Linked DNA regions of Ovis aries. The protein of the gene in region 7 purifies or fractionates together with the protein of the main gene of each other region. This does not show direct contact. Links are inferred from orthologs where the notes say so. Each region holds a gene or a part of one and is shown on either strand. Other genes may lie near its edges.

Region 1 (4,041 bases), on a different chromosome or scaffold from region 7:
GCAAGAGACATAAGAGATGGACGTGGATGCAATCCCTGGGTAGGGAATATTCCCTGGAGGAGTAAATGGCAACCCACTTCAATATTCTTGCCTGGAGATTCCCATGGACAGAGGAGCCTGGTGCGCTACAGTCCGTAGGGTCACAGAGTCGGACACGACCGAAGCGACTTAACACAACACACATATGGGTAAGCAAGGTAGACAGAAGGAAATGTCACTTACATCTAACTTGAGGTAATATGATATGATTATTCTAAATCAATATGCAGCGTTAGTAGCCAACTGAAGATGAAACGCAATGACAAGGTCCAGGTAGATAGGTTATTTTATAAACTTGTAAAAATATGATTGGCGACAGCACACAACAGAGAGACCTCTTAAATTTGCATCAAGCAAACTGGACAAGCAATATAATTCTCTTCCTGGGAACGTTGCTCATGTCTGAGTAGAGCAACATTTTTCAGTTTAAACTGCACGGTGGTACAGGGTGGGCAGATAGGAACAAAGAACATGCACTACGATGTTGAATCTATGATTAAGGGGACGAGTGTGAGGGTATAAAACAGGGGCGAAGGAGTATTGGTCACAATTTTTACTCCTGGTCGTCTTCTGGGAAGGTTTAAGGTGAGTCAAAGCTTCTGGGAAATCCATCAAAGTCTGACTCTTGTTTCGTCTCTTACCGTTGCAAGAGTAAAGGAGTTCCGACAGCCACTTCTGTTAGAGACTTATTTCGTGAAAACCATACCCTTTGGCATTATCATTCCATTCTGATTCATCTGATCTCTCTTGTTCCTGCAAGTTCCTCCGCTCAGATTCCCCCGGAAAAATGTAGGCCAAACTCCCGCAGGTTCGCTCACACACCACTGCTGTTAGCGCGCTAACAGGACTAGCCTGGAGAAGGAAATGGCAACCCACTCCAGTATTCTTGTCTGGAGAATCCCACGGACAGAGGAGCCTGGTGGGCTACAGTCCATGGGGTCGCAAAGAGTCGGACACGACTGAGCACACAGCAATACTAGTCTTCGTGCCGGAGGGACCCACCCCAACTCTGACCGGGCCCGGGACTCAGCGCCCTGCCCACACGCCCACTGCGGGCGTGGAGCTCCAGCTCGGGTCTTTCTCGCTAGCGTAGAGCCCCTAACCTCATCCCTGACCCCGCCTCCGGTTCGGAGACTCGCCCCAGGCCCGCCCCGGCTAGAAGGCCCGCCCCGGCTAGAAGCCCCGCCCACGATCCCACCCCCGGAGTGGAGCCTGGGCCCACCAGCTACCGCCAGGCCGTTCTTCCAGGCTCACAGGACTGCTATGGCCGGGGGCCGCGGGGCCCCCGGGCGTGGCCGGGACGAACCGCCGGAGAGCTACCCGCAACGACAGGACCACGAGCTGCAGGCCCTGGAGGCCATCTATGGCGCCGACTTCCAGGACCTGCGGCCGGACGCGCGCGGACGGGTAGGAACTTGGCATGTCTGGTCGGGGCTGGCGTGCTGCGGCCCAGCCTCCCTTGGCGCGATCTACCCCGGCTAGGCCCGCCCGGCCTTGCCGGAAGCGAACACCCGACACCCACTTCGGATTCTGGATCCCTTTCATCCCTTACGATCCACCCGCGCTCACTTCTTGTCCTTGCACCCGCAGCCGCACGGCGGGTCTTCAGAACCCCTGCCTGGGACAAGTTCTCTTACAGCGTTTCTCCTAAATCGGCTCCCGTCTTACCTGGCCTTGCTTCTTATTCCCCCTGACGTTCCATAACATACCTGCCTCCTTACTGTCTTGTCTCCTTGGGTTTGATAGACAGCGCATTCATGGGGACCCATTGCAACTTTGGGAACGCTTTGAGGGCTCTTGCACAGATCTTATTGATGTCCTTAATCAGAAGTCTCACCCTCCGGTATGTGTTCAGGACTGTTAGCCGTGTAATTACGCTGTACCCCTCGGGCGTCCTCACTGTGTTGTGCGGTGTGGAGGAACTTTCCTCTGTGCCTGTCCTTCAAGAGTGTGGAATATATTCTTCTTAGCTGTAATGAAGAGGGAGTGTGCTGAGTCCAAACCTTTTAAAATGGCATTTGGCTAAAATAGTTTCCTTTTTGTCTGGAAATAAGGCACATTTTAAGCTGCTGATCCAGTTTTTTTCCCTCATCCTTGAAGCATTATCTACCAAACTATTGTTATCTATAGTATTTTTTTTAAAGTAGTACCTTTCTTCATCTGCCTTTAAGTCTTGGCTTTTTACAACATGCACTTTATCAGCACATGCAGGATTTGCTCAATATCTAGGATCTTCTGGAGCTGTCAGGGCAAAACATTCTCTCTCTCACCCAATGTGTTCCTTCCTTAACTATTTATTGTTCTAGGTATTCAGAATATAGTCCAGCACAAACCAAACCAAACCCTCATCCTTCAGGGAGCTTACTTTCCTAGTACTTAATTTCAAGAATTAAGACTGAAATAGTAGAAATGTTAATATTCCCCTTATACATACTTAGGAGAAGGAAATGGCAACCCACTCCAGTACTCTTGCCTTGAAAATCCCATGGATGGAGGAGCTTGGTGCAGGCTGCCATCCAGGGGGTCGCAAAGAGTCAGCAAGACTGAGCAACTTCACTTTCACCTTCATACATGCTTATAATAAAAGAATAAGGTAACTTTCTGGTGATCTGGTAACTTCTCAGTTCCCTTGAGAACCAGGAAGTGTAACTAAAATGTGTCACAAAGTGTACATTGGGACTCAATACAAAGCTCCTAAGACTTCATTCAGAGACAGTGTATTTAGTTTACACAGCTTAATTATCTGGTCCTAAGACTGCAAGAAAACAGAAAAGAACAAGGAACTGCTTGTGGGGATACTGATAATCTCAATTTATGGCTGGTAGCCTTTATAACAAGATAGTATAGTAAATAAAACCAAGAGTGTAAGAGGCAGGTAGAAGAATTCAGATAGCTGTACCCTGAGGTACATGGGCAAATATCCTTAACACTTTGCTAGGCCCCACAAGCAGCTAATTGGTAGTTATAAGGATGAATCAGAAGGTAGTCATTCAACATGGAGAACAGACTTGTGGTTGCCAAGAGGGAGGGGAGGGGGAATGGATAAACTAGGAGTTTGGGGTTAGTAGATGCAAACTATTACATATAGAATGGATAAACAACAAAATCCTCCTATATAGCACAGGGAACTCTATTCAGTATCCTGGGATAAAACATAATGGAAAAGAATATAAAGAGTGTATATATGTGTATAACTGAGTCACTCGGCTGTACAGCAGGAATTAACACAACATTGTAAATCAACTATACTTCAATTAAAAAAAGTTTTAAAAAGTTAAAAGAATGTAATCATTCAACAGGTACTTTTTACTTGCCGGTCTTTAGGGGAAGGTTATTCAAGTCCACAATCCTTTATCCAATCCCTGAGGCTTGATGGGTTTCAGAACTGGAAGTGTTTGTGTTCGTGGCCATGTGTGCACATTCCATGCTTATCTAGTACCTCCCTCAGTGGCTTCCCTGGCGGCTCAGATGGTAAAGCGTCTGCCTGCAATGCGGAAGACCGAGTTTGATCCCTGGGTCAGGAAGATCCCCCGGAAAAGGAAATGGCAACCCACTCCAGTACTCTTGCCTGGAAAATTCCATGGACGGAGGAGCAGGGTAGGCTACAGTCCATGGGCTTGCAAAGAGTGGGACACGACTGAGCAGCTTCACTTTCTTTCCCTCAATGTCTGGAGCAGCATCCAGAATCAAGCACAGTGAAACATGTGAAGGTTCGTGTTCACCCTCAATGGGATGTATAAAGACTATTAATAGCCTCATGTCAGTTCAGGCCAAATTTGCTGCCAGTAAATTCAGCTCAAGATTATTGACCTGAGTAAACTTTAATTTCTTAAACATCTGAAGTTTTTTAAACTCTTTTTGGGAGATGTATTATGAGGTATAGTTTCGTTTAGTAGCATATATATATATCATTAATAAAGAAACATTTTGGGAATACATGCTAAAAATTGTCTTACATACTAAATTTTGGACACTCATTGCTAGTTTAAAATAGGATTTCCT
Region 2 (2,164 bases), on a different chromosome or scaffold from region 7:
ACAGGCGGAACCTGGCTTTGCATGGATTGGCAGAAGCTGCACTCAACCTAGAATAGAGACCAGACCAGGGAGGGCGGGATCAGCCCTAGACCCATTGCTGGAAGCTGGAACTACTTAGCGGCTGGGGCAAGGCCAAGGTTGAGCCTAGATGGGCGTGAGTGTAATTTAAGGTACCTGAGGAACGACTGGGGTGTGGGAGAAAGGTAAACCTTCCCGCCAGGAGTGAAAGGCTGAATTGCTTTGGGGAGCAAACCTCCACCATGAATCGGCCCATTCTCTGGTAATTCATAGTAGTGTACACGAAAAGAAATGTGTCAAGTGGGGGCCCAGGTTGCCAAGGCAACAGTAGAGCGGGCACAGAAGTCAAATAGCAGGACTTCAGTGGTGCATTAATGGTCCCACACAGACCGGATTTCTGGGCCTCCTAGTACTTTGTGCTTTAGAAACAGGGCACTTTAGCAAACAGTAGGGGTTAAGGGGGGAAAGAAGGGCCGTGTGACTCAAAGACATTCAGGCTCTTTAATGTCAGGGGAGGTAGGAAGAAGTCAGTGCTGAGTCTCTGGGAAATTCTGCAGACCTTGTAGCTCTCTAAGCCCCTGAAAAAGAGAATATAAGAGACTGAACAGAGACTGGGTCCAGGCCCCATCCCAGGCTTGCTCAGAACTCTCTTCCCTCCGAGCCAGCCTGGCTCTAGTTTGACTCCAGTTTAGAGGAAAATATGGTCCTTCCCATCTCTGGCTCTCTCTCGTTCTCAGGTCACCACCCTAAACATTTGGAGATAGAGTCTGGGAATGGAGTGAGCTACTCTCACCTCTAGCAACATGTGGATATGGGCCTTGATATTCATGGAGTCCTTGGTGAGGCTGTCGCTGAGCCTGGAGAAAAGAAACAAGAAAGGTGAAGTGGGCAGGAGGATTATGCTTCTTCATCACTTCAAGAACTACCTACATTATGTATGACTTCCACACGGTAGGTGGTAGGACATCCTACTACCTGAGCTGCTCCTATGCAGAGATGCCTGGCTGCCATCTGGACTGCACTGATTCAGAGACATTTATTGAGTGCCTACTCTACACCAGGTCGTTTTAGGTACTGGGAGATAGCAGCAAACAGAGCAAACAAAAATCTTGGCCTTGTGGAACTCAAATTCTCATTATGGGGAACAAATGATGGGAATAAAATATGCAGTATGTCAGATGGTTATAAGTACAAGGAAAAAATTAAATGTTAAGAGAGAATAACGAGTGCAGGAGTGGGGGTTGTAATTCTAATTAGAGTGCTTAGGGATGGCTTCACCGAGAAGCGCGTTTGAGTAAAGACTTAAAATGAAGAAGCGTATTGGAGGATGGAGGATGAGTGTTCCAGACACAAGGGGCAGCAAACGCAGAGGCTCTGAGGTGGGAGTGCACCTGGCATGTCTGAGGTACAGCAGAGAGGCCAGCAGGACTGGAGAAGGATCAGTGAAGGGGGTTTGTAGAAGGTGAGGTCACAGAGGTAAGCAGGGGAGAAAGATCATGTAAGACCTACCAGGCCATGGTAAGGACTCTGGCTTTTATTCTAAGTGAGATGGGAGCCAGAGGAGGATTGTGATCAGAGAAGGGATGTGAAATGACTAGGGTTTACGAGGATCCATCTGGCTGCTATGTGGAGAACTGACTGGGGATAAGGACAGCTAGTGTGGAAGAGGAAGTCCAGTGAGGAGGCAGTCCAGGTGAGAGAAGCAGACTCAGACCACAGTGGCAGCAGTTGAGGTGATGAGAAATGACTAGATTTGGGATACATTTTGAAGGTAAAGTCAACAGGATTTACCAAAGGAGGGTGTTGGGTGTGAGAAAGAGAACTCAAGGTAAAGACACCAAGGCCTAAGTGACTGGGAAGCAAGAGTTGCCTGAAACTATGCTGGCTCTGGGCTGTTGAGTTACATGAAAGAAAAAAAGTGGAAGTGTTAGTTGCTCAGTCATGTCGGACTCTTTGCAACCCCGTGGACTGGGGCTCACCAGGCTCTTCCATCCATGGAATTCTCCAGGCAAGAATCCTGGAGCAGGTTGCCATTTCCATGAACCAGTCACTTTTTTCTCTCTATGCCAACTGGCACCAGTCTCACCCAAAGAATCCTAATTCACCCAAAGGATCAAGGAAGGCCTTTGAAGAATGAGTAAAACAG
Region 3 (3,500 bases), on a different chromosome or scaffold from region 7:
TATTTGCATTACTGTTTGCATGTGTTTCCACATTATGTGTTAGTTTGTACTTTTACCCTTTTAGGCCTGAAATAACTTTCCTCCAATTGTCACTTGTTGTAGTAGAAAGAGCACTGAACTGTGGGAGTCAAGACACCTGGACTCTGGTTCTACCACTCACTGCTTGGTTATATAGCCTTGGGCAAGTCAGTTAACTTCACATCTGCACTGTTCCTCTGCACAGTGGGGTTGATATTGGTCCTGTCCATCTTTTATGGAGTTGTTAGGCAGATTCGAGATTATGTATGTGAAATTACTGGGGAAAAGACCAGAGTACATTTTCGTGGGCTTTTAGGACGGACAGACCAATCCTTGAATACTGCCTCTGCCATTTACTGGCAGTTACCTCTTTGAGCCTGTTTCCCCACTTATAAAACAGGACCAAAAAAAAAAACAGGACCAAATCCTACCTCAGAAAGTTGTGTGAGCATAGATGACACCAAGTATTTAAAGCACTTAGCATGGTGACCAGCATGTTGTTAAGCATCAATGGAGGATAGTATAGCCCTCTGTTCTTTGCTTGCTTGTTGACCCGCTGGAGTAAGATCCAGGAACAAACCCAGGCTGGAATAAGAGGCCAAATTTTTCTCCCTCAGGAGTGAAACAACATTTTCTGAGTACTTACTTGCTGAATGCTTCCCCATGTATGGTTTCTATTAATCTTCTCAAGAATTAGGTGAGGTGGATATCATTGTTGCTTGTTAAAGATAATGAGCCAAAGCTCAAGGAAATTAAATGACTAGACCCAGTCCCACAGTCAGTAAGCAGGAGGGCCTGGGCAAGAACCTTCTGAATCCAAATGCTGTGTTTTTTCCATCAGCTCATAAATAATGTAAACAAAACCAAAAGGAAATTGTGGAAACTAACCTTTTCGTGTTTTTTCAAGTCAACGTCGGTGAGGACTGTCCGGTATTTGATGGCCTGTTTGAGTTCTGTCAGCTGTCTACTGGTGGCTCTGTGGGTAAGGAATATACCCTTCATAAGGGCTATTCTGGGCTGTACCAATGAGGTCTGTCTTTTAGGCCACTGTCCTAGTGAGGCTGACCTGTGACCATGTAAAATGGTCCTGGGTGGGTTTTTATGTTAGGTCCTTAAAATGTTATTCTGCTTCAGTCTGAGGCCAGGTTCAATCTGACATAGTATAGATATGTGTCCTAGCCTGTCCTTTCCTACTAAGACATCCTGTATACAGGAACTCCCTGCAGACCTCATGGGGTTGTTGAGATGCTGAACATAAAAGTAATTTGTGAACTGCAAAGTGCTGTAAAAATAGGAAGTGTCATCATCTGTGTCTTACAAAAGAGCATGGTAATTACATTTAGAGGTCAGAAACACTTCCCGCGTATCTCCCACTTCCATTAATATCTATGTTATCTCTGGGATCACTCTACCATTTCTTAACAAATATTTATTTTTCTGTGATCATTGTTTTTTCTCCTTGCCTCTCCCTACCACCTCACAATATAATCTCAGAAAACAAAGAAGTATACAGAGGAAAAAAACTGACTGCAATCACACTGTCATGGATAACCGTCATCACCATTTTGGTGTTTGTACATCCATGCTTTTTTCTTTGTGCACGTATCCAGACAAAACGTATACTCATCTATATTTTACAAAAATGTGTATGTATAGTTTTGTGCCTCCCTACTACATTTTTTACTTAGTAAATCTTTTTTTTTTTTTTTTTCCGGTCATGCCATGTGGCTTGCAGTATCTTAGTTCCTGAACTAGGGATTAAACCTGGGCCCGTGGCAGTGAAAGTGTGGAGTCTAACCACTGAGCTGCCAGGGAAGTCCCTACTTAGTAAATCTTTGAAATTTAGCTGTAATAAGGTTTAGCATGGTATCTAGTGGCTACATGATTATTCTATGTTATGGACCAACCTCAGTTGATATAATTAGTCCACTCAAGTTGCTCTGTGTTGGTGTTTTTTTGGTTTTTGTTTTTTCTACACCATGCAGCTTGAAGGATCTATCTTAGTTCCCTGGCCAGGGACTGAACTTGAGCCCTTGGCAGTGGAAGCATGGAGTCCTAACCACTGCACTGCCAGGGGATCCCTCATGTTCTTATCGCTCTTAAAGTCATACTGCCGCAAAGGCATTTGCACACATGGTGTGTATTTTTCTCGCACTTCTTCTTGGGCCTATTTGTACTTCAAGCCTCTGTCTGCTACATTTGGTATCTTCAAAATATTTTGACCATGAACCACAGTAAGAAATACATTTACACTTAAAATCCTGGTTATGGACACACTCGCACACACACATCCTCTCTTGCTCTGCAGCTAGTTTCACAAAAGAGTGGTTACCTTTACTGTTAACTCTGCTATTTTTATTCTATAGTCTATCTCATTAAAAAAAAAAAAAAAAATATATATATATATATATATATATACACACTAACCATAGCCCACTAAACCAATTTTAAGGCCTATTAGTGAGTTTTACCACTTTCAGTTTGGAAAACAGGTTTTCTAGAGTAGCCAATGTTGTGTTTATTCCCATTGGAGTAGACAGAGGGAGAGGGCTAGCTGGTGAATTGTACAGTTCACCTGTTAAATAGGCAGGTCCTATCTCTCACTGGGTTCCCATGGTTTTTTGGGGAAAGGAGAGAGAGGGACTTTGTGACAGGCTTGTGTTCTTTCTTCCGGTGCCCAGCAAGTGCCGTGAAACTTAATAAGCAGCAGACGGACATCGCTGTGAATTGGGCTGGGGGCCTACACCATGCAAAGAAGTCCGAGGCATCTGGCTTCTGTTACGTCAATGATATCGTCTTGGCCATCCTGGAACTGCTAAAGTATGCCTGCCTGGCCTTGTCTCGGAGGAGCACCTTAGGCCAGGTCCCCACTCCCTCTCCCCCGGGCTTGCCTCCCTAGTTTGCCTTTCCTAGCGGCGTGCCGGCTAGGATGTGTTTGGTGAGTGTCTCTGGCCATCCTCTCCTTGACGAGGCCTTGATTGGATCTGAGCCCACGGCAAGATCAGGGGCAGGTGCTGCTCAGATCCTGCCTCCAGAATGTCCCTGTGTGGCTGGAGTTGACCCTGGCTGTAGAGTAGGAAGATCGGACTTGGTCGGCTTGGTCAGGCCTCTGGAGACACCCTGCCGCTCTTCCACCTTCCTTCAGCCAGTTTCCACGTCTCTGGTGCTTAGAGATACCTGAGGGAGGCAGCCAGCCCGGTAAGCTGGGCCCTGGCGCCCTTGGCGCGTCCCATTCCCAAAGAGCCCCCAGAACCCCCTGACCCCCTTCTGATCCTAGGTATCACCAGAGGGTGCTGTATATTGACATTGATATTCACCACGGCGATGGCGTGGAAGAGGCCTTCTATACCACAGACCGAGTCATGACTGTGTCCTTTCATAAATATGGAGAGTACTTCCCAGGAACTGGGGACCTACGGGTGAGAACTCCCTTCAGGGGCCAGCCAGCTCACCCTCAGCTGCCAGCTCTAACTCTCCTGTCT
Region 4 (3,500 bases), on a different chromosome or scaffold from region 7:
CAGCTACAGCCTGGATCCTCAAAGTGGAAAGTTCCTACACTAACAGATTAGCTTCTAGATCAAACACTTAACCAAGGAGCCCCAGACTCTGACAGCTGGAAGCGAGAAAACTGATGTCTCCGAACACGTCCTCTGGTGCCCCCTGCTGGTCACCTTATGACGCACACAGCCGCCTCCCCGACCCCGAGCTGCCCGTCAGGGGCTGTGGCCCCACCCTCACCATGTGGTATTTGTCCAGACGGAGCCTTTCGATGCCCGGCCACTCGCGATTCACGGTCTGCCAGAAGGTCTGGATGAACAAGTGCTCTGCAGGGAACAAGAGGCTCTGAGCGCTCCATTCGCAGGGTGCCGTGTCACCACAGAACAAGAAAGGTCACGAAGGGCAACAGACTAGGATTTCTCAAGGGTTCTTGGGCAGCTAGAAAATCTCGTTGGTAACTAAGAATGCTCGATAATTTTTTATATTTAAATAAAAGCTTATTTTGACAAGAAGTGGTAATATCTTAATGTTTGACTAGAAAGCTCTCCGGAGCATGTTTCATTATCCATTGAAAAGCCATGATTCTGTTAAAAATCAAAAAATGTCCTGAGCCAGAGATACTGGTCCTTCTTGTCCAAATACACTGAACAATCAGCCCTAAGCCATCCATCTGATGGCACCTGGGGGACCCATGCAGAGAGTTAGCTTTCTGTTTTCATGTTCAGCGTCAGCTGAGTGAACTTTAATAAAACACTGTTTTTCTCTTCGGAGCCATGAAACCAGCACTTTTTATCCCAAAACGGTTTGTTTTTTGCTTTACTTCCTTTTGCACAATTTTCTCTTGATATATGAAAAGCTACAGTATATTCCATGTACAGAATTTTGATCCTTACGAGTCAGCTGGGAGCCTGCTAAAATCCAGAGAATCACTGAGCGTTAACAAGGCCATTGGATAGTTCTGTTCTGAGGGCTGAGCAAAAGCAGTGAATTCTGCCTTCTCTGCTTCTGTAAGTAATCAAAGCTGAATGTCTCAGAAATATTAATAATTAACTTCTCCCTTTGTTTATTCGTTTTGGTCAAGAGGGGTTACTTTACAGTTTGTTACCAGTGATGACCTGAAATGGCTCTAGTCCCAAGGACAACCAGCATCCAGAGGTAACCGTGGCACCACACAGTCACACACAGCTTCTGAGAGCATTAAAGTAACTCAGAATGTGGAAACTCTGGAGGACTGTTATTTTTTTTGACTCTTTTGAAACCTCTGAGACGCCGAATGTGATGCCCTTTGTTCACCCTCTCACTGTGTATCTAGGCCTGACACAGGTTCCCCATGGGACAGTCTGTCACCTGACATTCACACTCCCGGTGCCCAGGCTCATGTGACGCTAGCCCCCCTGAAAATAGAAACTTTGAAGGAAGGAGAAGAAACAACATTGAGTAGCTTTCTTAGGCAAGTTACCAAATCTGATGAGCAGGTTTTGAAAGTCACGAAAATATCAGGACTTACGAGCCTCTGAGTTGTTAACAACATGGATGAGTTGGGAAATAGTGTTCGCTAGCTCCTCCTGCAAAGTGGGGTTGGGGAAAAACAGCGGGGTTATTACGTGGAACCATGAGAGGACAGCATCACGGCCTGTGGGAAGGGGTCAGCCCCTCCATTCTCACTGTCACCTCCACTAAGAAGGGTGTATCTGAACACCTGGATTGCATTACATGTGAAATGCTGTTTCAACGGACTATTGTGCCAACTCAACATGCCTTCAGAACTAGGCTGTGTGCTCACACACGCTATGCCTAGGGTGAGTTCAACTGACGCACACAAGAAACATCAGCTCTCAACTCCTGGCTTTCAACATATAACTTGGGTTGAGATTCCATCCGAATTCCCCCAAATAATGGAAACGCAGATGCCAACTGCGACGAGGGGGCGTCGCTGGCAGTGAGATACCGGACTGTCACTCCATGTGGCTCCTGTTGGCTTGCTGGCAGACAGGCAGCAGCGGCAAGGCAGCAGAAAGCAAAAGAGCCATCCTACTGAGGTGCACAAGCTTGTCTGGGGGAGAACTCAGGCTCTGGGTCTATGAAGAAACCTGCCTCTGGGAGTGTCCACAGAAGAAGAATAATCCTCACCGCTATCATGGGGCCTTCACCTAGACTCAAGTCTTTCTCACCCATGTTAAATGAACCCCGGACTTGAAAGTGATGTTCCCATTCATCTGTTTCCTTCCTCCACTAAAGCTGTTGGTTGTCACTTTGAATGTAACTTAAAAATATTTTGCTCTGCTGTCCTACTCAAAACATGTTCAGTGGAGTAAAGGCATGAAATCAAAGTGAGTCACTACAGGGCTCAGGGGAAGCGGAATAGCTGCAGGTAAAAGCCAGACAAGTAAAAACCTACCCTGGCATTTTGTACATCAGGGGGCTTCAAACAGCGCCCCCAAAGCTGACCCTATCCTGCTACAAAGACAGGCCTGTTTCACACACCAGAAAAGAGCTCTTCAAGAGCTTAAACCACTTTCTCTGATAGTTCTGGCGGCAGGGCTTGGTGTGCTCGGCAGACAGGGGTTCAGGTGAGTGCACACACCTGGGCAGGTCTCCACTGCCATTGTGATGAGACCATCAGCTCCAGGATCACTGCTCATTCTACAAAGACTCTGCCCCACTTAACTGTGGCAGAGCTGGGCCCAGAGCCGGGTAGCTCTTAGACTAGCGTTTTGCTATTTTTGACCACAAATAATAAAGGAGGAAACAGAAACTTTATAATGTAAAACCTACCATGGAACCTATGAAACTGTGACAGAGAAATAACAAATCTAATTTATGTGTCTTTGTTTGTCTTTGAAAAGATTTCACTTCAATGCCTGCACCCCTTTCTCTATGGACAAGTGGTGGGAAAGTGAACCTTTGAAGCAATGGTTTTCCATCTGTTTCCGTACATCAGGGATGGATACAGCATAAAGCGGGCAGGTCTCTCATTCACCGGTGCCCCGTGTCCAGCAACATGACACAGGGAACTGTAGGTTACCTGCAGAAGTGGTTCATTCTGCACCCACATGCAATAGAACAGCCCTTTCCAGATTTTTAGAAGTTCTTCTTGGCTGAAACCTCCTAAAAGGCAAAAGACCAGAAAAGTCTTATTTCAGAACCTACACGCTTCCTCCGTAAGTTTAGAGCTGCCACAGAAGCAGTGAGAATAATACTGAGTACATTTTCACTTTTACTTGTAAATGTCTTTTTTATTTGAAGCATACATTTTCTTGCTGTTACAAAACAAAGACATAAATGCTTTAGTTTTGTCAGCTATGGGGCAGGGCGGTGGCGGTAGAGTGTTCTCACAATCTGAGTAGCATAGGAAAGCAAATGTCATCCACACACAGAATTAACTAATTTAGTTCACGAGTCATTTAGGAGTTCCCTCAAGTGGTCCTCTGCCTGAAATTAGCACCTCCCCCCCAGCCCCCACCCACCGGCAACACCACCATTGTCACTGGTCTAGCCAAGTTAGACCGAAAATCCTGCA
Region 5 (4,213 bases), on a different chromosome or scaffold from region 7:
TGGCAATATAAACTACTTGGAAAATATATATTATTTGGTTACATATTTATTGCTTAGTTCCCTTCTAAAATGCAAGCACTATGAGAACTGGAACTTTATCTGCACTCCAGAAACTAGAAAAGGGCTTGTCATATATTTAGAAATTTTTACATACTTGTTGAATAACTGAATGAATGAACTAATGAAGATTTTCAAGATACGTGTTCAAAAAATAAATGCAGAATAGTGGATATGGTATTCAACCATTTGTATTTTCAAAAGACATATACATACTTGTATGTGTGTGGGCTCTCTCAGGAAGAGAACACAAGAAATTGATAATACAGTTGCTTGATGTGGGAAAATAATTGACAAGCAGGTTTACTTTCTCCTTATATTCTTTTGTACTCTTTGGGTTTTAAACAAGTCTAGGTATTTTTATCTCAAAAACAAAACCAAAAAATATTAAAATTTACCTCAAAGTTTCTCTTAATAACTTTGGAATACTTTTTCCTGACTTGTTATTCTACAAATAGAAATGTGCTAAGCAATTTACATACTTATTTAATCTCTGTAACAACCCTATGATATAGGATTTTATATCATAGCATATGATACAAAATCATACCTATTTTATATAAAGAGAAACTGTAATACAGAGAGGTTAAGTTAACTGGCTGAAGTCACATTATTGGAAGCACAAGACATGAAATTTGAACTCTGACTGACTGAACTTAAAGTTCAAGTATTTAATCATCCTCTCTATAATGAGATAAATATATAACTCTAAGATATTTTCTGATAGAAGAAGTTAAACTATCTTCACTTTTGATAGAAACCTCAGGGCCTAGTACTGGGGCTCTTGCAATGAATGTTGAAACAAAACTGGAAGTTCATGATTTTTCTGTGCCAGTTGGATAAGTATCTACTTCCAGAAAATGTTATTAGATTTAGAACTCTGGAATTAGGTGGATATGGTGATACTTAGTAATAATGAACAGTGGCTGTCATTTGAGTACACTCTGTATGCCAGGCATTATGATAAACAATTGACATTCATCATCTCATTCAATCCTTAAAATATAAAGTAGACTCTATTACTGACTCCAATTTACAAAAACAGAGACTTAGTTTTAGGATAAGGAATTTTTCCAAAATGACATGCGATTAAATGAGAAGACAAAATGTGGATCCAGGTCCAAATCTACAATCCATGTTCTTAGCAGCTATGCTCTATTGGAATCAAAACGAAAGGCTTTCAAAAAATGGAGCAGAAGTGTTGTATAAATTTTCTTGAAGGTGTGGAGTAATACAGTTATAAATTATTTCTTAAATACAAATTCAAATTTGAATTTGATGCAGATTCCATAAACATTTTTTAGGACCAGGAACTACCTTCCACATTATCATGTACAGTCTCTATGTAACTTAATCCTCTTATTGGAAATAACTTGAGTGCTAGAGCCATTGATTCTAGTAATTTGCAAGCATCAAGGAAGAATGAAAATTTCGAAAGGAGGGAAGGGCAGTACTAACATCTGGACTATTTTTTTCCTTCTAGTTTTCAGAGTTGACAGCATAAAAGTCATTTTATTGGGTACCTTAATTGATTCAAGATATATTTAGAGTGGAACAAGATATATTTTAAAATGAAAACTTTGTGTATTTGTAAATACTTGTTTAGTAATAGAAGAGGTGCCAATTTCTACCGTTAAAAGGCAGGTAACCTTTGTGTACTGAAACAAACAATTCCTACAAAATAGTAGAAAGTAAATAAAAAGCAGTATCTAACCTTTGGATGTCATGTTCTCTGGCAACAAAGTTCATAAATATTTACCAAAATCCGAGATGGGGTCGCTGACCATGGTAGAATAACACTATCAACTGAAACCTGTAGAATGTCTAACACATCCTACCTGGTTGTTAAAAATTAATAACCTATACACTATACAACACAAATTTTCAATTCTGGCCCAATAATGTCATAAACAGCAGTCAGCCTTGACTTCTCTGAAACGGAGTGCCTAATGAACACTCCTCAAGGCGAATCTCGCAGACACTTAAGAAACGATGGTAGAAGAACTGATTCTCAGTGCTTTAAGTATTTTTCATTTGCAGAGCATCAACTACCAGTATCTCTTCCATAGCCTGGCTGATCCTCAGCAAACCCATTAGTCACTGCTGGCAGGTTTTATCTTGATGCTACAATTGGGGCTCGGGGAAGGTTCCCAGCTGATCTTTGACAGGTTAACAGCAGAACCTCGCTGGACAAAAAGCTTGCAAGTTGGTGAACCAAGGCTCCTCATCTGATAGTTAAGCCTAGAGCTATACTTCAAAACAAAACACTCTGTATATGGAGTCCTGAAGGAACTTTGCACTGTAAGGTACTGAACAGTTAGTGTTCAACCAAAGTCTGGGAAAAGAGCCAGGATGCCCTTTAAAATTTCCGATTTCCTCAGAATTTCAGGTAGGAGATCTCTGATCTTCCTGCTGAGCCGTCGAGGACTCTCGTTCAGGCAGAGCCACATTCTAGTGCGTTCTCAAGTTCCTTCCTTTCACTTTATCCCCAAGGAACCTTAACCAGGCCCACCCGCAACCCTATCCCATCGCCGCACTTAACGCTTCCGTGTTTGTCAACAAGCCCACCGGGTCCTCTATTCCTGAGGCGGCGGGACCTCTCCGCTTCCACCGAGATAGGTCATCCAAAAAAAGCCCCCGAGACCAGTTTTCTCCTCTAGCCTTACACTCACCTCAGGCTCAAAAAGTTTCACTCGAATGTCCGCCACCCGGCTATTCAAACTCAGCCTCGAGATTCAAACTTAAGCCAGCTTCCTCAGCGCCTCTTTTCATTGGCTTCCGTCTTCGTGACGTCACCACGCAGGACGTGGCCGTGGCGCGCTGCAGATTGGCTCCAGGCGTCTTAGCGGCGCGGAGCACTAGAAGCTGCCTAACTCCGCGTCACCGTGGCAACGCGGAGGCTGCTTCCGGAGGCGTTGGCCGAGGTGGGCGGGGTTAGGCTGCAGCTGCAGGTGGGAGGCAGACACCTGGGATCTTCAGGAAGCCTTCAGACCGTGGGCACGGGCCCGGTTCCTGGGTTCAGGGTGTGAGTGAGACGAGTGCGGGCAGGGCTTGGCCATGCCCTCTGCTAGGGGGAGAGGGGGAGCCTGTTGGGTATGGATTAATGGGTTTTGGGTGTTTATTTTCTCCTGTTCTCTATTTAGCAATGAGGCCTCCAAGGCATAGGTCCCGTGATCTGGAAGCTATAAGGGCCTGTTCCTTCCAGCCACTTTCACGTGGACAAAACTGGGGTCAATTCATCTAAATTAATCGAAAGTCCAGGACTTTTGGTTTGAGAGCCCAGGCTTCATTGCTCAGGAACCCCAGGCTCATTCCCTTAGTGCCTGCTGACTGAAACTATTTGTTGTATGACTGTTTCTCCATTTCTTTCTAAGATGGCATTACAAAATAAATTTATTCAAATTTATTGGCCTAGTTCATTATTGGATGCAGTGGGCTTTTAAGTCCTGGGTTGTAGTTAGAATTTTAGAATGTAACTATAAAAAGGAAAAAAAAAATATATCTGGAAAAAAAAAAGGCAGATGTGTTTGCTAAGAGAATTCATCGTTTATTTCTCAGGATATTTTTAATAGTATGATCTGAATTTTTGTTATTCTTATGTTACTATTGTTGTATCCATTCATTTAATAGTTATTAATTGTATATTTTAAGGACATAATAGCACACAGTTGAGTCAAACTCCTGGCCCTCTTGGAGCTTATGTTCTAGTGATTCAACATCACCATATATACAGGGTGGCACACCACCAAATGTAGAGTGTTATAAGTGAACAATGTAGGGGAGACCCTCATATTATAGGCATTTATTTCCTATTGAAGAAAATCAGAAGCACTTTGTATTGTATATGATGCATAATATATGATTATTTCTGAGCACTGGATAGAGCATCAATAAAGTTAATTGCTGGCTGTACTAGATGGATCTTAGCTAGTGAGATAGTGATTTGTATGGTGCTGGGTCTGGTAGTAAAACTGAGAAGGCTTTTCATTTTATTTCAAATATGCACTCACTCTGTGGTACTTTACCTTTGATGTCCCGGGCATTTTATTAATTATATATATTATCCAATCACTTCCAAGTTTCAAAAGAGCCCATGAGATGTATATACTATTTATTTTACTGAAAAGAAAACTAAAGTTTTCAGAAAATCTCTTAA
Region 6 (3,500 bases), on a different chromosome or scaffold from region 7:
GGACTCTGTGTGGGCCAACCAGCTCTCCTCCCTGGAAGTCCTGACCTGCTGGCCGGGAGGACAGGGCATCCCCCAGATGGGCCTCATGACTCCCATTCTCTCAAAAAATAAGAAAATGAAGCAAAGAAGAGCACGATAAAATACATTCTTCTCCTTTCTTGATCCTCTTTGATATAGGTGAATCACATGAAAGGTGGTTAATAATGTTAAAAGTTTAGAAATTACCAAAAGGCCACTAACGTGCTATCTAAATAATACTGCACAATCAGGCTTGGCTTTAACAAGCTCTGCATCGGCTGATGCGGGGCCCAGGGCCATCTTGCCCACCAGGCAGAGGATGTGTCTGTCAACCTTGCCACAGGTTGCTCCCCCAGAGGCCTGGCCTCTACTTCCAGCAGGCATGTGCACACACATGGGTATACGCGTGTACACACACTCACACTGTCTGAGCGACTCTTGGGATTTCAAAGTTGAAGTAAACAGAACAGAGACTCACAGTTTTGAATAACACACACACACACACACACACACACACACACACACACTGTGGGTGGAAGGGACACTCGTCTCAGCGCAAATATGTGCCAAGGGAAGAAGGGGATATTCTGTGGATATTGCTTCAGGTGAAGTTGCAACATAGACACTGTACATACAGCTAAAAAAAATACATACAAAAATTGCACATGTATCCGTAGGAGGGGAGCACAGACCCCAGGCAGGGTGCTCTCGGCCACCCACCTCAGCAATCCAAACTCCCCATGAGCTGCCCTCAGTGGTGTTTCTGAGTCACCGGGAGCAATGTGCCTGGGCAGCTGGGAGGCAGTCTCTCTAGACAACGTGGGCATTGCGAGGCGGAGGTTGGCGGTCTCGTCAGTGGCCTTCTCCCCTTCCTCTGCCTTCTGGCCATCCTAACAGCCAGCCACACTGTGCCCTTGAGGGAGTTGTTACAGCTCAAAGGATAGCCATTTCCATGCAGAGCTGTTGTCTACAGCATTTGGTAGACTAGTTAACACTGGCTGCTGATAGAAGGAGGCTGGCCAATTACGGCTCAGGGGAAAACTGTGATCTGGGTACTGGTAGCCCTGGCTGCCGAGGCTGACAGCTCTGACAGTAATCAAAGAACTGTCCTTTAAACTCTGTTCCCCTGATGGCCCCTAGAGAACGGCACGTGCAGGAACACCATCTCCTTATGTCCTGCTAGTTATTTGTAAGATCTGCACTCTGCCCTCCTGGGGCCCTGGTGATACCACCTTGGGTCAGCTCTGTCATGGGCTGATACACCCAAACTTCACTGGCAAGTGGGGACAGAACCAAGGTGAAGGAGGTTCAGGCAGTGGCAGCACGAGGGGAGACTTAGGGCCGTCCTCCACACAGTGCACACACTTACTGATAATGGAAACCAAATGGGTGCATGACCCTAAGGATGGATGCTCTCTTCTTGTCCTTCTACCCTCTGCTAGAACAAAGGATGCAACTCCCAGAACCAAAACTGGGCTGATGCTAAGGATGGCAGTTCTGCCTGGTAAGAGGGCCCATTATTGATCCTTTAAAGGAAAAAAGTCTGTTGTGAAAGTTTAGTAGATGATGGTAAGTACTGGTTAAATCTGTCTATTGCTAGTGAGAATAAATACATGATGTTAAAAAGACAGGTGATACTCAGAGTTCCGGAGGAACTTGACCCAGCTCATGGAGTTCAAACCAGAGGAGCTGTCACTTCAAGGATGCATCTTCATATTTCCTGCACTTGGGGACAGTTAGGGCGGAAGGTGTTCCCATGAATGGCAGCTGCACATATGTGCGGCTGACTTTCCCTAATGTTAAGATGGACTCAGCGTCTCACTGGACTTGGATGGGGAGGGAAGGCTTGTCTCTCTTCTTTCCTTGAATTCTGTATGAATACCAGGAGGGGGAAGTGTGTGGGCAACTTGAAGAAGGTGACACATGAAGTAAGACCAGTGACTGGGACATATTAACGGGGCTGCAGGATTTTCACAACACAGCTGAGAGAGTCCGGAGTGGCAAAAGCCAGATACTGAGCACAAAGCCAGTCCTCCAGGCTGATGCCACCCTCCCGGTCCAGGGACTTCTCGGCAAACTTGATCATGAGCAGTGTGCGCTTGATGTCTAGCCAGTTCTGGAGCAGGGTGTTCCTGTGAGCGGGGCTGGGGGAGGCGGTGAAAGTCTGGAAGAGATCTTCCCGGGGGCCCCAGAGCAGACACTGGAGGATGCCTTTGGCATCTGAAATGAGGATCCGCTCAGAAGGGTTGGGATTTAGGAGGCAGCTGGCCAGCTGCTGCAGGCCCCGGGAATAGGGGGAGCGGAGCGGGATGCGGGGCAGGTCGGCCCGGGTGTACTCCTTCTCCTTCAGCTCTGGGTTCTCATCGAAGGGGTTGGGCAGGTGCAGCATTTCATAGATGAGGATGCCTGTCTGGAACTCGTCGCACTTTTTATATTGCGTGGCCGTGATGATCTCCGGGGCGAGGCGGGACTGGTCCCGGAGGATCTCAGGATCTACCAAATGGCTCTTCTGCTTGGCCTGGGAGAAGTTGCTGACGATGAGCCTCGTGGGACAGGACGGGGTGGGGCTGGGCTCTGCAGGCCCCAGGCCCTGGGTGGGCCCCCCAGGCTGGTAGTGGACGAGCAGCAGGTTCTCCAGACGCAGATCGCAGTGGGTGACATGGTAGGGTTTGAGGTGCTCCAGGCCCGAGCACAGCTGCAGAAGCAGCAGACACACTTGCCTCTCGTACGCATCCGGGCTTTTCCCATGCTGCGCCAGGGAGTCTCGCACAAAGTCGGCCACTGTGAGACACGGAACCTCTCTGGTGATGACCACAACGTGGCTTCTCTGCTTCCTGCTGACGACTGCCTGGCTTTCTTTGTGGGACGACTCTGCTTCGGAGCCCAGGTCTGGGTCCTTCCCATCAGCTTCCCCTTTCACCTCTTCTGTTGCTTCCATGTCATCCTCTTCCTCTTCGGGGGCATCGGGATCCTCCCAGGGAAGCAGGCGCTTAGGAACTTCAGCAAGGAAGTGACCGCAGTCCTGCTGGATGTTAAAGTGGACAGCCAGACTCTGCCGGATAGCCAAGCTGTGATAATATTGCTGTGATTCTTTAGCTTTGCTCTTACAGATCTGAAGGAAGAAAGCAAAGAACACAATTTAAAATGCACACTATCAGAACAAGGCTCATGATTCGTAAAGAGGGGTTAACTAGAAGGTGACTGGTAGGAGTCTGGAGTAGCGACAGCAACAGTGTTGCAGTGAAGATACAGCACTAGAATTGAGTTTTCCAGAAAGGGTTTTGGTGACCCTGTGTTGAGTTTCAAGAAACAGTGTCTTCATGCTTAATCCATCATGTGTATTACCTCTAGTCCTTATGTGTGCGTGTGTGCTAAGTTGCTTCAGTTGTGTCTGAATCTTTGTGACCCTATGGACTGTAGCCCGCCAGGCTCCTCTGTTCATGGGATTCTCCAGGAAAGAATACTGGAGTGGGTTGCCATGC
Region 7 (4,168 bases):
CAACTGGGCTCTGTGCCCTGGGCTGACAAATGACACTTGTTTGTCTTCTTGCGAACAGAGTTACAGCACGGGAGGGTAAGTTGGTGACTGGGGAAAGCTGAGTGAGCAACTGCGCCAAGCAGGTGGGATCTCTGAACCTTAACGCCTCCAAGCCAGCCGCAGGGAGGCCTCGGGTCCATGTGGAAGGAGCCTGGGCCCCACCACTTTTGGGCCCCGGGGGGAACACCGGTTTTGAGACTGGATGCCCGGGTGGCACAATGATCTCGATATTTCGGGCTGGGAATTCGTGCATTTTGTGTGCCTTGAGAGACAAAATTAATTTCTCTGGCGGGAGGGAAACGGCTTTGCAAACTGTAAAGCGCTGCAGGAAAAAAGCAGTTAAATGAAAAGGTCAGGATCCAAAAGAGCAGATGCGTTTGCTGAGTGTAACTGCACTTTCAAACCCAGCTAAGACGACACGCAGCCCCCGGAGGTGGCACATTTTGGAGGGATCTCCTGGAGAGAGATTATATGTGGAGACTGAGAAGCCGATGGAAATTGACCAAAGTTTTCAGGGGTATCTGCAGAAGTGGGGACCCGACCGCAAACCTGCAAATTCTCCTTTATCTGCTGCACACGCTCGCTCATCTTCGCTCTGGCCGGAATCAGGGTAAACCGTTCCGATGATTATATAACTTCGCGAGTTCAAGAAAGATAATCCAGAGAGAGATGATGAAATTTTTTTGAGGGTAGATTAAAAAGAATTTTTTTCCCCAAATGTAAGTTACAGAGTGCACAAAAATGTGCATACAAATACCCATATTTCCACCACTCAGAAAGAATAACCTAACATTTTTATTTATCTGGGAGAGGACTTTTTAAATTAACCATCAAATGTATCTTTCCCTCCCCCCTAAATTCTAGCAAATTTGAAGCCAAAAAGAGTCAACCTATTTCACTGTTCACCTCTACCACAGATTTATCTTAAGGGGAAATTCCAGGACACCCAAATTCCCTCCGTGGGCTTTTCACATGGCCAGGTCTGCAAACACTTGGCCGCAGTGAACAGTGTCCTGCGGAGCCCGCAACCCTCGAGTGCACAGATGCATCTTCTCCCCCATCCCCAACTCCCGCGTTCAACTTTGCAACTCACGCTCCCGCCAGGGGGCCTATTTGCTCGGCCCGTTTGGCGGAAGGATTCCGCGCGCGAGCGCATTTACGCTCAACCGTCTCCTTCCCATTCCCGCGTTCTGGCCCCGCCTCCTTCAATCTCCCTGGCCCCGCCCCCTCCCGGGTGCCCTATGGCCCACAAAGAAGTCCCGGCCGGACCGCTGCACTCCCCCGCGCGCATTCGTGCGCCGCCCGAGGCTGGCTAAGGAGTCGGCGGCCATTTTGTTCTTCTCGTGGTTCCAGTGGGGAGAGAAGGAGGAAGCAGGGAGCGGGGCGGTTGGGGGGAACCCACCGCGGCTTCTGCCACCGCCGCCACCACCACCATCTCTGTGCCCGTGGCGTGGGAAAGGAGGTGTGAATCCCGGGCGCGAGCCGGCGGCGGCGCCGCTGCGGGAAGGTCGGCGGTGGGAAGGCGATGGCGGATATAGATAAACTCAACATCGACAGCATCATCCAACGGCTGCTGGAAGGTGAAGGGGGCGGCGGGCGGCTCCGGAGACTCGCGGGGGAGGGGGATTTGGGAGGCCTGTTGGGCTTGCTGCGCCGAGACGAGTGAGCCCCGCGAGTTCGCCCGCGGGCCGGGGACTGCCGCGGGAGGGAGGTTGCCCGGCGTTCCGCGCTTGGCCCAACCTGCGGACCCTCCTGGCTCCGCTCATTCATTGCTTGAGGGTGCAGCCTTTCTCCTGGCCGTGAAATTTGAAAACTCCGCTCCCCACCCCCACGTTTCCGGTACGTACCCCCGTGCGCCCGGCACTCCGGACCAATCTTTGGAGAATATTGGGGGCCCCAGTCCAACCTACTGGACTGCTCTTTCCGAACTTCGTGGTTCTCAATCTTTTGGAAAGCAATAAGATGCGGATATGGATTTCACCAAGCTTGAGGGCTTCTTTCCTAGCCTGCTTATTTTTATTTTTTTGTGAGGCTTGGGGTCGGGGGCCCAGTTACTTGTTACTCGGTAACGAACGTTCATTCTCAGAGAGATGTTGGAACCTGTCTTCTTCTACCCTCCCAGATATTCTTTTTAAGTTGTCTTTATCCCGGGGAAGTCTCCGCGCTCTTTTCTGAACCTGCCTCTGAATCGTGAAACCGGCAGTGATGACAGTTTCGTTAGGATCTTTCCAATGTGCCAAGCTCTGTTAAGCGCTTTGCGTTCACTGACTGCATTTTGCTGTCTTTTAGTCGCATCCGACTTTTCGATCCTATGGACTTCAGCGTGCCAGGTTTCCCTGTCCTTCACCATCTCCCGGAGCTTGCTTAAACTCATGTCCGTTGAGTCGGTGATACCATCCAACCCAACCATCTCGTCCGCTTCTCCTGCTTTCAGTCTTTCCCAGCATCAGGGTCTTTTCTAATGAGTTGTCTCCAGTACTTTGCGTGTGTCGCAAAAATCATATTAGCCATGCTTCTAAAGCGCTTACTGTGTGTAAGGCATTTTTTGGAGCTCCTTACACAGATTTCATGTAATACACCAGGTAGATGCCTTTTTTTCCTGACTAAGACCCAGAGAAGTGTAGTCACTTAACCAGTTAGTGACAGTCAAGTTTCAAACCCAGGCAGCCAGGAATTCAACGTCATTCAAGTCACCCTATGTGTGAAGGAAGGTGTCCAGTGGTTGAGCAAAGGTTAAAATAAATCTTCAGTTTTGACTGACCTAAAACTCCTGAGGTGTCTTGCGATTGATTTCTATTGATGTGGGATGGGAGAGGGATGAAGTTCGGATTTTAAGGAGAGACACTGAAATAAAATCACCCACCACCCCTGAATTCTAGAGCACATCTATTAATAATAACGTCTAATTCCTAACTTTGAAAGAATTCAGATCCTTTTCTTGAGTGTTGGATAATGTAGATTTGGCTGAGTTTTAACTGCATTTTTGCCTTTATATTCTAAAATATTGTTGGACTGTAAATGCTCAGAGATGGAGTCGAGCCTAAACAGTTGGACAGCTCTGATGTTAGAATTTACAGATCTTTTAAGTCATGAGAATGAAACTTCATCTTTTCTTAATCTCTGTTAAGGTTTTTTTCCTTTTATAGTGTCTCAAAACAAAAACTCGTTAAATGAGCCCCTGAAATGTCACTGCCATTTGTGGGTGAAAACCTTGTTCATTCAGTATCTGCCGTTTATTAGAGGAATCACACTTTTAATATTAGTTGATATAGTTCTTTGGTTTATGTGAGACAGCAGTGGGTCAGAAACGGATTAAAACAATTTGCTGTAGGAAAAGAACTTAAATTTTTTTCATTCAAAAATTGTAAATTCTGCATGTCTATGCAGGGACATGTGTGGCTTTATTTCTTTGAGAAAGCTGGAAAAAATGGAAGCTGTGGATTAGAAACAGAATTTTAAGATTAGTTAGGTCTTAATTGTGGGGTTGCCCATAACTTTTATATTCATATAACATCTTGTTAATTTTAATCTTATTTTTTAAATTGTGCTAAGGAATTTGCGTTGATTAACCTGGATCATTTACAGTGAGATCAGTCATTATTTCTTAATAGTTTCTATACATGTTATGTTGTGCTGGAAAACCAGGTTTTTTTAACATTTCATTTTTTTTCATTGAAATTAGTACAGCAGTGCATTTTCAGTCCTCGGGAATAAACTAGCTGCTCAACATTCTTAACGTTTGTTTTTTTTTTTTTTTTCTCGTCAATGTTAGATTGGCAGAGAAACTATTGAAAATGATCTATTGAAGATATATATGTATATCTTTCCAGGGTAGAAGATGTTGATAAGTTTTGTGATTTTTTTTTTTTTAATGCCTCACAAAGTTTTTCCTCTAAAAATTTTCATTAAGATTTAAGTATATCTGAAGATGGAGGGAATGTGAGTTTTATGACCTTTTTAGAATTTTTTACATTTTCAGAATTGTCTAAGGTGGAGGACTATACAAGCTAGTTGAGAAGTAGCTCAGTGATAGTACTAAAAAGACCATTCAAAAGTGAAGTCTTATCTAATGAAACGTCTTGCTTTAGGTTTTAGTCACTACAGCTTTGCAGTTATTTGCTACTCTAAA

Evidence for each region.
Region 1: the proteins of PPP1CC (region 7) and EIF2AK4 purify together in Homo sapiens (affinity purification with mass spectrometry; 3 studies listed by BioGRID and IntAct, counting the BioPlex papers as one, with this or other methods). This does not show direct contact. The link is inferred for Ovis aries from reciprocal best matches to the Homo sapiens genes PPP1CC and EIF2AK4.
Region 2: the proteins of PPP1CC (region 7) and UXT purify together in Homo sapiens (affinity purification with mass spectrometry; 4 studies listed by BioGRID and IntAct, counting the BioPlex papers as one, with this or other methods). This does not show direct contact. The link is inferred for Ovis aries from reciprocal best matches to the Homo sapiens genes PPP1CC and UXT.
Region 3: the proteins of PPP1CC (region 7) and HDAC1 purify together in Homo sapiens (affinity purification with western blotting; 4 studies listed by BioGRID, with this or other methods). This does not show direct contact. The link is inferred for Ovis aries from reciprocal best matches to the Homo sapiens genes PPP1CC and HDAC1.
Region 4: the proteins of PPP1CC (region 7) and RRP1B purify together in Homo sapiens (affinity purification with mass spectrometry; 7 studies listed by BioGRID and IntAct, counting the BioPlex papers as one, with this or other methods). This does not show direct contact. The link is inferred for Ovis aries from reciprocal best matches to the Homo sapiens genes PPP1CC and RRP1B.
Region 5: the proteins of PPP1CC (region 7) and KIF18A purify together in Homo sapiens (affinity purification with mass spectrometry; 4 studies listed by BioGRID and IntAct, counting the BioPlex papers as one, with this or other methods). This does not show direct contact. The link is inferred for Ovis aries from reciprocal best matches to the Homo sapiens genes PPP1CC and KIF18A.
Region 6: the proteins of PPP1CC (region 7) and PEAK1 purify together in Homo sapiens (affinity purification with mass spectrometry; 6 studies listed by BioGRID and IntAct, counting the BioPlex papers as one, with this or other methods). This does not show direct contact. The link is inferred for Ovis aries from reciprocal best matches to the Homo sapiens genes PPP1CC and PEAK1.

The regions. Positions count from the first base shown.
Region 1 is NC_056060.1:33,800,389-33,804,429, forward strand, and holds the start of EIF2AK4 (eIF-2-alpha kinase GCN2), read left to right. Parts: upstream 1-1,241; 5' UTR 1,242-1,302; coding exon 1,303-1,446; intron 1,447-4,041. UniProt on the Homo sapiens protein: Metabolic-stress sensing protein kinase that phosphorylates the alpha subunit of eukaryotic translation initiation factor 2 (EIF2S1/eIF-2-alpha) in response to low amino acid availability.
Region 2 is NC_056080.1:57,175,278-57,177,441, reverse strand, and holds the end of UXT (protein UXT), read right to left. Parts: exon of another isoform or gene 876-2,164; coding exon 752-875; 3' UTR 597-751; coding exon of another isoform or gene 546-596; 3' UTR 501-545; downstream 1-500. UniProt on the Homo sapiens protein: Involved in gene transcription regulation. Acts in concert with the corepressor URI1 to regulate androgen receptor AR-mediated transcription. Together with URI1, associates with chromatin to the NKX3-1 promoter region.
Region 3 is NC_056055.1:235,235,998-235,239,497, reverse strand, and holds part of HDAC1 (histone deacetylase 1), read left to right. Parts: intron 1-925; coding exon 926-1,000; intron 1,001-2,699; coding exon 2,700-2,838; intron 2,839-3,295; coding exon 3,296-3,437; intron 3,438-3,500. UniProt on the Homo sapiens protein: Histone deacetylase that catalyzes the deacetylation of lysine residues on the N-terminal part of the core histones (H2A, H2B, H3 and H4).
Region 4 is NC_056054.1:264,416,695-264,420,194, reverse strand, and holds part of RRP1B (ribosomal RNA processing protein 1 homolog B), read right to left. Parts: intron 3,089-3,500; coding exon 3,006-3,088; intron 3,000-3,005; exon of another isoform or gene 2,937-2,999; coding exon of another isoform or gene 2,883-2,936; intron 1,546-2,882; coding exon 1,488-1,545; intron 307-1,487; coding exon 221-306; intron 1-220. UniProt on the Homo sapiens protein: Positively regulates DNA damage-induced apoptosis by acting as a transcriptional coactivator of proapoptotic target genes of the transcriptional activator E2F1.
Region 5 is NC_056068.1:57,559,651-57,563,863, forward strand, and holds the start of KIF18A (kinesin-like protein KIF18A), read right to left. Parts: upstream 2,801-4,213; 5' UTR 2,730-2,800; intron 1-2,729.
Region 6 is NC_056071.1:30,021,288-30,024,787, forward strand, and holds part of PEAK1 (inactive tyrosine-protein kinase PEAK1), read right to left. Parts: intron 3,131-3,500; coding exon 1,970-3,130; 3' UTR 1-1,969. UniProt on the Homo sapiens protein: Probable catalytically inactive kinase. Scaffolding protein that regulates the cytoskeleton to control cell spreading and migration by modulating focal adhesion dynamics. Acts as a scaffold for mediating EGFR signaling.
Region 7 is NC_056070.1:54,611,194-54,615,361, reverse strand, and holds the start of PPP1CC (serine/threonine-protein phosphatase PP1-gamma catalytic subunit), read left to right. Parts: upstream 1-1,368; 5' UTR 1,369-1,564; coding exon 1,565-1,619; intron 1,620-4,168. UniProt on the Homo sapiens protein: Protein phosphatase that associates with over 200 regulatory proteins to form highly specific holoenzymes which dephosphorylate hundreds of biological targets.